3 linked regions of the Sus scrofa genome follow. The protein of the gene in region 2 interacts with the protein of the main gene of each other region in a pairwise test. Links are inferred from orthologs where the notes say so. Each region holds a gene or a part of one and is shown on either strand. Other genes may lie near its edges.

Region 1 (4,223 bases), on a different chromosome or scaffold from region 2:
TCCTCATGCCAGCAACCTAAAAAAAAAAAAAAAATCATACTGTAAACTCCCCACAACAGTGTCTTTCTCAGCCTGCTGCCAAAGACCTGTCTGTAGGGCCAGTGTGAGCACAAGACTCCACTACTGGGGCATGGGCTGACCCATCTGAGGGGCCTAGGTGCTAAAAAATAGAAAGATAAGAATGATGACCTATCTTTGGGGTTTCCCCAGCTCCAGGATTCTATTGATGGTAAAAGGGGCAGCGGATGGGAGGTTCCTTTGTTCTAAATTCCATACCTCGGCACTTTCTGAAGCCAAAAGATAGGTGAGGAAGGCTGTTCTTGCTGTCTTGGGCTTCCCTGGGTGGCACCACCTTCCTGAATCTCAGTCCAGGGTCTTGTCCAGGAAGAGACCTGTTTTGGGGAGGAGGGTGGCTGACACTAACCAAACCAAATGACCAATTTATGAGGTGATAATGAGCGATATAAGAGCAAGAGCAAGCACTTCCACCCCTCACTCTGGACTGCCCAGTCTGTGGGCACCTCTGTGGAAAGCAGCCATTAGTGGGGTGCTTGGTTAGAGAGGAACTGGAATCAGACTCCATCTCAAGTGGCTCAGGGAAAAGCTTGATGCATCAGCTACAGGACAGAGGAGCACCTGCCCCCAGATGGGTGGGATGACCCCTTGGGCCAGAACTGCTCCTAGACTTGGATGGCCAAGCCAGCATCATCCCCAGATACTCCCATCCCTCCCTTCGCTGGCTGACCAGGCCCTCTTTGGGCGGGGCAGCCCTTCTTTATATATGCTAATAACCCCCACCCTACCTCCCCACCTCCCCCCCCAGTAGGGACGGTTTTGCCCTGGGCACTCATTGTGGACTGTGAAGTTTCTTTCCAGCTCCCGCTTCTGTTTTTTGTTTTTGTTTTTGTTTTTGTCTTTTTGCTATTTCTTGGGCCGCTCCCGCGGCTTATGGAGGTTCCCAGGCTAGGGGTCGAATCAGAGCTGTAGCCACAGGCCTACGCCAGAGCCACAGCCACGCGGGATCCAAGCCGTGTCTGCAACCTACACCACAGCTCACGGCAACGCCGGATCTTCAACCCACTGAGCAAGGGCAGGGACCTAACCCGCAACCTCATGGTTCCTAGTCGGATTCATTAACCACTGCGCCACGACGGGAACTCCCCAGCTCCCCCTTCTGACCCCTCCTAGGTTCCCCTGGGACCTGGCTTAAGTGGGCAGGGGTTGGGAAGGTCCTTTTGCGCCGAGGGATCATCCACAGGGCAGGATCCTCAGGCAGGCGGGAAGGGCTGGTCTAGGATTGCCAGGCAGCGCCCTCCCAGCGTGCCTACCCGGGCAGCCGCGGCTGCGGGCCCAGGGCCCAGCAGGGGCGTGTCCCCGCTCTCACCTCCCATTGGGCAGGTGGGGCCGCCGGCAGGGGCGTATTATAAATGCAGAGCGGGTGGCTGCGGAGCCAGGCGCCTCGCAGGATGGTGGACAGCGTGTACCGGACCCGCTCCCTGGGGGTGGCGGCTGAAGGGCTCCCGGACCAGTACGCGGACGGAGAGGCGGCGCGCGTGTGGCAGCTGTACATCGGAGACACCCGCAGCCGCACGGCTGAGTACAAGGCTTGGCTGCTCGGACTGCTGCGACAGCACGGCTGCCAGCGAGTCCTCGACGTGGCCTGTGGTACCGGGTGAGCCCGGACGGAAGCCAGGGACCTGGGATGAGCAGGCATCCGGGGGCCAGGGGGAAAGAGGAGCCGGGAGGACACAGGCGACGGGGGACGGGGTCTGCTCCGGCCGGGGTCGCCCGACCGCAGTACCACAGCGGGGCACGTCGGGCAGCCTCCTCCGCCGCTGCCGACCTAGAGCCAGGCAGGGGCGCGACGCCAGGGGCCAGGAATGAGTGTTTACCCAGGCAGAACGAGGAGCAGGGCGAGGCCGACGGCAGGAGGGGGCCGAGGAGACCCAGGGTGAGAGCGAGGGTGTGGGCACTGTGGGTGGAGAAGGCGATCTCGCTGGGGCGGCGCAAGGACCCAGGCTTTGGGGCTTGGAACCCGGCTCCAGGGTCATTCCAGGGTCATTCCCCGGTATGATGGCCTCCGGCAGCGTTAACAGTTAACGCTTGTTTAACATGTGCCCCTGCCAAAGCACTGTACCAGGTGCTTTTGATACATGAGGTTTTAAAATCCTCACAAAACCCCATGAGGTGGGTAGTGATAGCTGTTTACCGTTGTAGGAATTTGGCCTCAGAGAGATAAAGGTGGAGAGGAGATGCAAACCCAGATGGGTTAGGGTCTGGCCTGTGCTCTAAACCCCCATGTTACACTGCCTCCTGTGCTCAAGTTACTTAACATCCAGAAGCCTCAGCTTGCCCCATCTCTCGAATGGGGATAAGACCATCTACCTTACCGGACTGCAATGAGGATTCATGTGCATTTGTAGAATGCCTGACTTGGAATAGGTGCTAAAACACAAAAAGGGTGCTACCTGATGATGAGAATCAGATATGCCAGGTCACTGAGGTCAGTGGAGAGAGCCTGGGGACAGGCAGAAAAATGGACTCTGAGGACCTGAGGAGACAGAAGTGTCCGGCACAGGGCCTCCTCCTTGCCTTCCCTGACCACCCCTCTCTGCCTGTTGGGATTCTGGTCCTGCCCAGGGTGGACTCCATCATGCTAGTGGAAGAAGGCTTCAGTGTGACAAGTGTGGATGCCAGTGACAAGATGCTCAAGTATGCACTTAAAGAGCGCTGGAACCGGCGGCATGAGCCTGCTTTCGACAAGTGGGGTAGGCAGCTCCAGCCAGGTCCCCTCGGCCCAGCCACCAAGGACACTGTTCTCTCTGCTCTGGCTCCTTTAGCTCCTGTGGTGGGGGGTTTTGTTTTCCTCAAGGGGGACAGTAAAATCCCTAAAAAGGGAGGCTTAGGCACAAGAACGAGGTATTGACTATGCTAGTTTTAATTACCTTTATAGTATCTTATCCTTCTCCCCCAAAAGAAACCCATAAGCACAGGGCCCTCCTTCCCCACCACAGCTTCCTATTCCCCTGACCCCTCTTCTCCTTCACCCTCCATGTCCATGATGATCCCCTCCCTCGGGATCCCCTCCCCTGGGGAGGCCCTGTGTGTATCTAGAAGGGGAAAGAGAGGCAAGACTGCACTTGGTGGACACGGGTGCTGCTTGTACTGTGGTACCAGCCTGTTCCCTCTTCCCTTTCCTGGCCCCCAGTCATTGAAGAAGCCAACTGGATGACTCTAGACAAAGATGTGCCCAAGTCACCAATGGGTGGCTTCGATGCTGTCATCTGCCTTGGAAACAGTTTTGCCCACTTGCCAGACTGCAGAGGTGAGAGGGTGTGGCCTTGGGCGTAGACCCTGCTTTGAACCATACCCTTTCCAGACGCAGGGGGAAGGAGAAAGATGGGAGGGAGACTGGTGCCCGGGCCCTGAGCAGACGCAGCCTCTCTACCCTTCCTGGAGTTCAGGGGACCAGAGTGAGCACCGGCTGGCCCTGAAAAACATCACAAGCATGGTGCGGTCAGGGGGCTTGCTGGTCATTGATCATCGAAACTACGACCACATCCTCAGCACAGGCTGTGCACCCCCAGGAAAGAACATCTACTATAAGGTGGGGCCCCTGAGGGAGGGAGGGCCCAGAGTGGGAGGTGGGCTCTCTGGGCCCCACCAGAGTTGCAGAAGCTAACACAGCTGGCACTCCCACCTGCAGAGTGACCTGATCAAGGACATCACGACATCTGTGCTGACAGTGAACAACAAGGCTCACATGGTGACCCTCGATTACACGGTGCAGGTGCCGGGGACTGGCCACAGAGGTTCTCCTGGCTTGAGGTACACTGGCGAGGCAGGGGCTTGGGCAGGGGGCGCTGACACACCAGTCCTGATGGTTGGTCGGGGGCTCTGTTGCAGTAAGTTCCGGCTCTCCTACTACCCTCACTGTCTGGCATCCTTTACGGAGCTGCTACAAACAGCCTTCGGGGGCAAGTGCCAGCACAGTGTCCTAGGAGATTTCAAGCCTTACAAGCCGGGCCAGGCCTACATTCCCTGCTATTTCATCCACGTGCTCAGGAAGACGGACTGAGTGAGGCCTCAGCTCCCACTGCCCTCTGCCCAGGCGCTGCCAGGCTCCGTCTGTGGAGGAGGGGACCAGAAGCCCCACACGGAGCCCAACCCCCAGTGCAGATCCGGGGGTGTGGGAAGGGGTGGGCTGCAGCTGGGGGCAGGGA
Region 2 (3,199 bases):
GGGTTAGTATGAGATATGACAGTGAACACTCACTAGTCCTCCAAGTACAAGCACATGATCTTAGTAGGTCAATTCCAAAGGCTGGCTGCAAAAGAGAGTCAGATACTTACTCTCTACCCCTCCTCTACCCCCAATACCAGGCAGTCTTAGAACCAGAAGTGGAGAACAGCCCTTGAAAAGTATCCTGGCTCAGCTTCTCAACACTTACAATAGATAACTTTGAGAAGAATCCCCAGGTAAGTCAACCAAAAAAGGGGGCAAAAATGTACTCTGATGCCTTAGTGGTGGGCTCACCCAGCAGGTGCCTTTGAAGTTGTCGCACATAAAGCAGGTGATGATAAGTAGGATAAGCATTACCCTGGGCAGGAGGAAGTTGATTCCCCAGAGAATCTCCCACTCCATTCCACACCATCACACCTCCCTATCCTCAAAGCCCAACCTGGGCCCCCACCGCTCTGCTCCCTAAGGATTGCATGGTTTGGATTTGCTCAGGACTGGTATTTGGGTGTGATGGTTTCCAGGCTGAAGCCTTGGCGGTGGGTCTCATGGTGCACGGTATTGCAGCAGGTGGGTGGCATTTGCTGCATGAAGTCACACGGCACTCTCTGTCGACCTGTCAGCCTCGCCCCCAGGCCTGGGCCCTCCCCACGGCTCCTGTGGCTCTCATGTAGGTGGGGCAGCTGGGGCCTTGGGTGATTGCAGGGGTGGGATTGTTGGATGGGGGCATTGGGGCAGGGATGGCCAGGGCTTGGAAGAAAAGCTAAAGGAGCCACAGAGGGCGGGTGGCCTTTGCCAGAGGGAAGTCAGGGATCATTTAGAAGAAAAATGCATGCTACAGGAAATCTAATCACTGATGGGGCAGGTGGTTGGCAGTGGTTCATTCTAGGTAGTTCCATTACCCTCCAGGAGGAAGAAATACCAAAGAGATCAGCAGGCACATCTGGACAAGCTGATTTATTAGAATGTTACAGTGGGGCTCCCACACAGAGGCACAAAGCTAGGTGCTCAGCTGCCCTCATCCCCCTCAGCCGCCAAAGCCTCCTGGCTCTCTTCTCTGCCACCGGGCTCCTGCCGAGCAAACTCCTCGATGACTATGTCCTCAGAGCTGGTAGAAGCAGCAAAGGGGAATAGAGGGTTAGGAACAATTGTCTGAGCGCCTTCCACATCCACTCCCATTTCCTGATCCCAGGGAAGTGATCCCTTCCCTGCTTCCCAGCTCAGATCCTCACCCCTTCTCAGCTGCCCCACCCCACATGGACCACACTGGCTTATTTCCCTCACTCCCTCCCCAGTCTCCCAACACAAAAGTCCCCCTTGAGGGCTGGAGGGGAAATAAGAATGGAGTGTGGGAAGGAGGGAAAGGATGGAAGAATGAAAGGCAAGTGAAGTAAATGCGAGGAGGTGGGGGGTGCAGGAGGAAAAAGAAAAATGGAAGGGCTGAGGGGGAAGGACGATTGGGAGAAGAGCAGGAGGTGGAAGGCGGGGGATGCAGAAAGGAAAAGGAGGGTGTTGAAAAGCACTGAACTATGACACGAAGCTAAACCATATGTTTCCACTGTACACCTATTGAAAGCAACACTCCAGGGGAGCTTTGTTCATTTCCATCCTCATAGAATGGAGAGTAGCAGTGGGGAAAGGGGGCGGAGTTTCCAGGCCTCACATTTTCTTACCTAGCAGCCTCTGCAGCAAGCATGGAGAGGGAAGGAAATACGGAGCAGAAGCTGATAAGGGGCTCTTGGGTTTCCTGAGGAAATGTCTTGTTATTCTTCCCTCCCCCTTTTAAACCCTCTCTCTCCCATAAACACAACACACACACCCACACATGCACCCTGAAATCTAGTCACCCAACCTACCTATTACTATTCAATCTCTATCTAAACTGCCAGTTTCCGATTCATGAGATCAGCACTGCTTAGGCCCCAACCCTCGGGATCACTGCCCATGTAAGTCCCACCTTGTCACTCACCATTTGATGGCTTTGGGTGCATTAGGATCAGGGGCAGCTCCACGCCGACATCACTGCAAGGATCCCAATGTGGAGTTACAGATCTCCCTCCGAGTCTGCTCCCTGATCCTCTCCCCCAATTTTCTGGTGCTGGGATGCCCTTAGATTCTCCCTCGTCACGCTTTGGGTCTCTTGATCTCATCCTCCCCTTCTAGCCCTGGTCCCCTCTCCCCACCATCTCTTACCTGGCTGTCAGGTCGCCTAGGATGCTGAGGATAGAATGACACCCTAAAATTAGCAGCTGGAAATGGAAAGTAGCAGCCTAATTTTACTGGGGGATAAGGGATTGTAAAGCCAACTCAGCCACAGAATGGGTTTCTGGAAGGGAAGGTGGCTTGTTCATGAAGCTTACAGTTTGGGGCAACTGGTCCAGGAGAAGCGGTGGGTATCAGATTGATTGGGTCAGGCCAACTGGGAGGAAAACAGAAGGGGCTCCCCAGCCCCTGCCCAGACAGACCCTGCACCCTTGCTCACCCGCCACAGGACACCATCAGGTTGACTCTGACTTTGTAGGACACCAAGATCCCCAGCAGCTCCTTATCCATTCCTGGCCGAAGACTGGAAGTGGTAGTATTTGTTGTATGTTTGTGGGGGTGGGTGATTCATTGAGTCCCCCCAGTCCTTTCTTGTGCACCTTTTGTCATCTAGGAGATCTTCCAGGCTCTGATCTCCTGTTCCTTGGGACCGCATTACTGTTCCTCAAATCCAGTTGTACCATGCCACCCTCTGCCCAGGAGCCTCCCTCTCTGAATATAACTACTACACTCCTTGGCTTTCACAACCCTTAGCCATTGAGCCCCACCTTGCCTCTCTAAGCTTCCTACCTGAACCCTCTAACACCTAGGGTGCAACCTAAGCCAACCTATCTTCTCTCCATGCTCAGAGCATGCCCCACGGATTTCTACCTTCCAGCCTTTGCCCAGGCTGTGCTCCCAACCTGGAATGTTCCTTTCTTCCTCTATTGCTATCCAGATCCAACACATTCTTCAAGATCTAGCTCATTCTATCTGTTCCAGGAATCCCTCTCCAGCTATGCTGGCTCCTTTTAACTTCTATTGGGTTTATAATCTGAACCACATGTACTAGCACTTAACTGTTAGATTGCATTTACATTCCTTTGTTCCCCATCTAGGCTGTAAATTGACTGAAAGCAGTGACTGTCTTAAACTCTTTTGTATCCACCCACATTGCTTA
Region 3 (3,967 bases), on a different chromosome or scaffold from region 2:
CCAAGCATATGACTTATGGTGGCTCCCAGTAACTCTGATACTCAGAAGTGATTATTCATAATTTAGAGGAAGAAACAAAAGGTTCCCAACTCCATGGAATAAGGAAAGCAACAGCGCAAAGGAATCCAGTTCCTCAGTCGATCCACCTCTTTCTCACCTGCTCAGCCAGGCCTCTTTCTCTCTTTCGTGGAACTCATATTGCCCTGCTTGATCTGAGGGAAATCAAGATCAGAAGTGTATCCCTGTAAATGGTAAATTTCTTTGCCTTCTTTCCTGGGAGAGTCTAACTTCAGTGCTGGGCACATGAAGAAAGAGAAGGGTTGGTGGGAGACCCCAATACATTTTCTCCCAAGCTCCTGAACCTGGAAGATTAAGAATTAGCCCGGGAAGATCCCTCTGAGCCTTCAAGCAATGTTCAGTCTAGAATAGTGTGGCAGGTAGCCCTGTCTGGGGGTCTGGAGGCCCTAATTCTTCTCGCCCCCCTGACACTTGACTTCAAGCCAAAGTTGCTTAACTCATCCCTCTGTGAACAGCTAACTACACCCTACACTTAAGGGAGCAATAAGCACCCCGACCACTAACGGGGGACCCTCTGTTCACTCCTCAGGGTTGTCCTGATGCTCAGAAGGACGAATGACGCACAGCTGGGAAAGTGCAAATCCCTCCAAAGCCCAGGCTGACACCTTGAGCATCTGATGTTGGACTAAGCGGGGCGGCAAGACTTCCCTTCTCCTACCTTCCTCGCCCATTCAGCGGCCGCGGGCCGGACGCAGAGGAGGGGTTTCGGCTGGAAGAGGGTTGGGCCTGCCGGAGGGGGGGGGGGGCGTCACACGGGGATTCTGAAATGGAGCGTTCCACGATGCACCACAGCCTTTTCTCCGCCCCCCACTCCCAATTCCAGCTTTCAGCCTTGGCTCCAGGATCGACCCTTCTGGGCGTCCACAAACCCTTAGGGGAGTCCGAGACAGGAGGACAGCGAAGAGATAAGCCTCCAGACCGACCTTCCCAAACCGGTGGCGGCCCACAGCAGGACGCACCAGCGTGAGCCTCCTGCCAACCTTGTCCTCAGCCTCTCCACTTGGCCACCCGCTCGCGGGCGCGATTCCCGCCGCGCCTTCGACGCCCCTCCCTCCCGCCCCGCCTCGGCGCGCGTCCCCCGCGCGAGCCCGCGGGGAAGCTGGGCAGCCGTGGCTTGGCGGACCCACAAAGCCCCCGGCCAGGAGCCGAGCCCCGGGCGCGCGCGGAGCGGGGCGTGGCAGGGCGGGGCGCGCAAGCCGGGCCGGGCCGGGGGTGTCGGATGTCACCCCCAGCGCACACCTCGGCCCGGGGACGGAGGAGCGAACCACTGAGATGCGGAGACCTCCCCGGTCCTAGAGCGGAGCAGGAAGTGTCCCAGGGGAGGGAGCCGGAGGGCTTCGGCCTTTCCTTTTCTCCGCGTCCGGCGGGCTCCAGAGGCAGCCAGGCCTGCACGGCGCGCCAACTGGGACGCGGCGCGGCGGTGAGTGCGGCCCGGGCGGCCGAGGCTTCTGCGGCCCGCGCGCCCGCTCGGCGCCTTCCCGCGCGCCCGGCTCCGCGCTCCCAGGTCCCTTGGCTCCCAGCCCCGCGCGCTCCGGCCTCCCTCCCTTCCCCGAGCCGAGAGGTGAATCTTCGGGCAGGGGCATAGACAACACAAATGTTGTTTTTCAGGCGTCTCCATTTGCTCCTACTTCTTCCCTCCTAAGCGGAGCCCTGGTTTTCTGGATGAGCAGGAGACGGGGTCTCGGCTAGCCAGGAACAGTCTGGCCCTTGCAGAGAACCCGCCTCAGGAAGGACACCCGGGAGACCGCGCTGGAAGGATGAGGAGCTGCTGCCTAAGTCTTCCGCCGCAGCAGGAGGGATTTGAGTTAGACGCTGGGAAGGAGTTCCAGGCTGTGAGGTGAGGAGCCGGGAGCTGGTTAAACTGGAGGCGTGCATGGGTGTGGATGTGTAGGGAGGGAAGAGGGAGAGGGATCTGGAGCTAGGAAAAGCTTGCCCCTTTCCCTGGCACAAAATGCCCATCCCCTTCTCTTTCTGCTAATCCAACTCTGTCCTCCTTATAGAGCTGCTTTAAGTGCGCCCCGCCCCCTACGGGATCCTCCAGGGACCTACGTTAGTTCATTCATCAAGCTTCATTCCTGAGCCTCCTATGTGCTAGATGCCAGGGCGACAAAGAGGAACATGGCTTTCTAGTTAGGGACGATGGGCAGAGCTAGGTGTTTTAGAGTGGACACTGAGGACTTAGGGTGGGGGCACGGGTCCCCTAGCCCTGAGAAATCTAGGGCCCTGTAGGTGTGTGATGGCAGGGAAGGTGGAGTGGATAGGGCTGGGATTGGGTTTCAGATGTAGGAGCAAACACTGGAGGAAATCCATTGGTATTGGTGGGGCAAGTTGTAAGGTGTCCAACCAGATACCCTCAGAGCCCTTTCATACCAGTGTGCATTTATCTTTATGTTGGAGAGCAGAGGTCCAGAGGTTTGGGTTTTTCTGACTGCCATTTAGTGGCATTGTTGCTCTTCTAGCCTCACCTGTCTTCCTGTGAAATGGGAAAGAAGCCTCCATTTTGCACGGAACCCTTGGGGGATGGGTGGGGGCATTGAGCTGTTGGAGGTTAAGGGGCTGGCTTGCTGGGGAGCCTTATAAACCAGATGTGGAGAGTAAGTGACCCTGTCCAAGGATTTCAGAGGCCCGATGGTTGGGGAAGAGTGACCCCATTTGCCCTTCATCTTTTCTGGGACCCATAGTCTGGAATAGTGGCTGCTACTCTATGTTGTTGCTCTATATGTATTCACTGGGGAGGTAGAGGGGCCCCTGAAGTCGTGGAGGCTGTGCTCTGAGCACCTCACCTGTGTCCTGCCTAGGAAAGGCTGTGAGTTGTGCATGGTTTTTCTTATTGTAGATTGAAGATGACAAGAGAAGGCAAAGTGGACATCTTTAAGTACTAGTGTATATTGGAGTTCCCATTGTGGTTCAGTGGTTAATGAATCTGACTAGGAACCATGAGGTTGTGGGTTCGATTTCTGGCCTCGCTCAGTGGGTTAAGGATCCGGCGTTGCGGTGAGCTGTGGTGTAGGTCACAGATGCAGCTCGGATCCTGAGTTGCTGTGGCTGTGGTGTAGGCTGGCAGCTGTAGGTCCGATTAGACCCCTAGCCTGGGAACCTCCATATGCCACGGGTTCGGCTCTAGAAAAAGGCAAAAAGACAAAAATAGATAAATAAATAAATAAAAAATACTAGTGTGTATTTAAATGTTATTGTGTACCATTCAGACTAGTGAGTTGTGCAGAGGCTCCTCAGAGAGTACTGACATTTTTTTTAGTCTTTTTAGGGTAGCACTCGTGGCATATGGAAGTTCCCAGGATAGGGGTCTAATTGAAGCTGTAGCTGCCTGCCTACGCCAGATCCACAGCAACACCAGATCCGAGCGACGTCTGAGCGAGGCCGGGGATCGAACCTGCAACCTCACAGTTCTTAGTCGGATTCATTAACCACTGAGCCATGATGGAGACTCCAAGAGTACTGATATTTTTAAATGCATAGTGTTATTTTCTTCTAGTAAACTCAGGGTGTAGCCACCTCTTAAGATTCCCCATCTCTTGTCTGGGTATCTTCTCTGCTATCTGCTTCATTTTCTGCCTATCAGTGCTTACTCCACTGAGCAAGGCCAATTCTTGCTCTGTGTTGTTCCAGCACTGCTAGTTCACTCTAACTACTGCAGGATGAATTTCTCATCTGGATTCACTTTTGAAGGCTTTTCCTGTGCATGTCTGTCTTTGTCTTTCCAGCTCATTTTGTAAAGGTCTCAAGGACAAGGACGGTGACTTCGGCTCCAAAGCCTCAAGGTAGCGGCCTTCTCATCTTGTCCATATCAGGTCCTTTCCAGGAGGACCTGGCCACTGAAGGTACCACACAGTGTTAATTACATCTCTGTCCTGCATGTGGCCCCATTGGT

The links.
Region 1: the proteins of ARR3 (region 2) and GNMT interact in a two-hybrid assay, tested with the Homo sapiens proteins (2 studies listed by BioGRID and IntAct). The two-hybrid records come from large-scale screens. The link is inferred for Sus scrofa from reciprocal best matches to the Homo sapiens genes ARR3 and GNMT.
Region 3: the proteins of ARR3 (region 2) and ZNF496 interact in binary tests that used the Homo sapiens proteins (3 or more experiments, as listed by UniProt). The two-hybrid records come from large-scale screens. The link is inferred for Sus scrofa from reciprocal best matches to the Homo sapiens genes ARR3 and ZNF496.

The regions. Positions count from the first base shown.
Region 1 is NC_010449.5:38,036,936-38,041,158, forward strand, and holds the start of GNMT (glycine N-methyltransferase), read left to right. Parts: upstream 1-1,423; 5' UTR 1,424-1,466; coding exon 1,467-1,672; intron 1,673-2,640; coding exon 2,641-2,768; intron 2,769-2,916; exon of another isoform or gene 2,917-3,208; coding exon 3,209-3,325; exon of another isoform or gene 3,326-3,464; coding exon 3,465-3,607; intron 3,608-3,706; coding exon 3,707-3,828; intron 3,829-3,906; coding exon 3,907-4,078; 3' UTR 4,079-4,223. UniProt on the Homo sapiens protein: Catalyzes the methylation of glycine by using S-adenosylmethionine (AdoMet) to form N-methylglycine (sarcosine) with the concomitant production of S-adenosylhomocysteine (AdoHcy), a reaction regulated by the binding of 5-methyltetrahydrofolate.
Region 2 is NC_010461.5:56,308,248-56,311,446, reverse strand, and holds the end of ARR3 (arrestin-C), read right to left. Parts: intron 2,564-3,199; coding exon 2,480-2,563; intron 2,247-2,479; coding exon of another isoform or gene 2,240-2,246; exon of another isoform or gene 2,215-2,239; coding exon 2,191-2,214; intron 2,020-2,190; coding exon 1,967-2,019; intron 1,681-1,966; coding exon 1,671-1,680; intron 1,106-1,670; coding exon 1,006-1,105; 3' UTR 940-1,005; downstream 1-939. UniProt on the Homo sapiens protein: May play a role in an as yet undefined retina-specific signal transduction. Could bind to photoactivated-phosphorylated red/green opsins.
Region 3 is NC_010444.4:57,052,250-57,056,216, forward strand, and holds the start of ZNF496 (zinc finger protein 496), read left to right. Parts: upstream 1-1,167; 5' UTR 1,168-1,498; intron 1,499-1,686; 5' UTR 1,687-1,915; intron 1,916-3,800; 5' UTR 3,801-3,967. UniProt on the Homo sapiens protein: DNA-binding transcription factor that can both act as an activator and a repressor.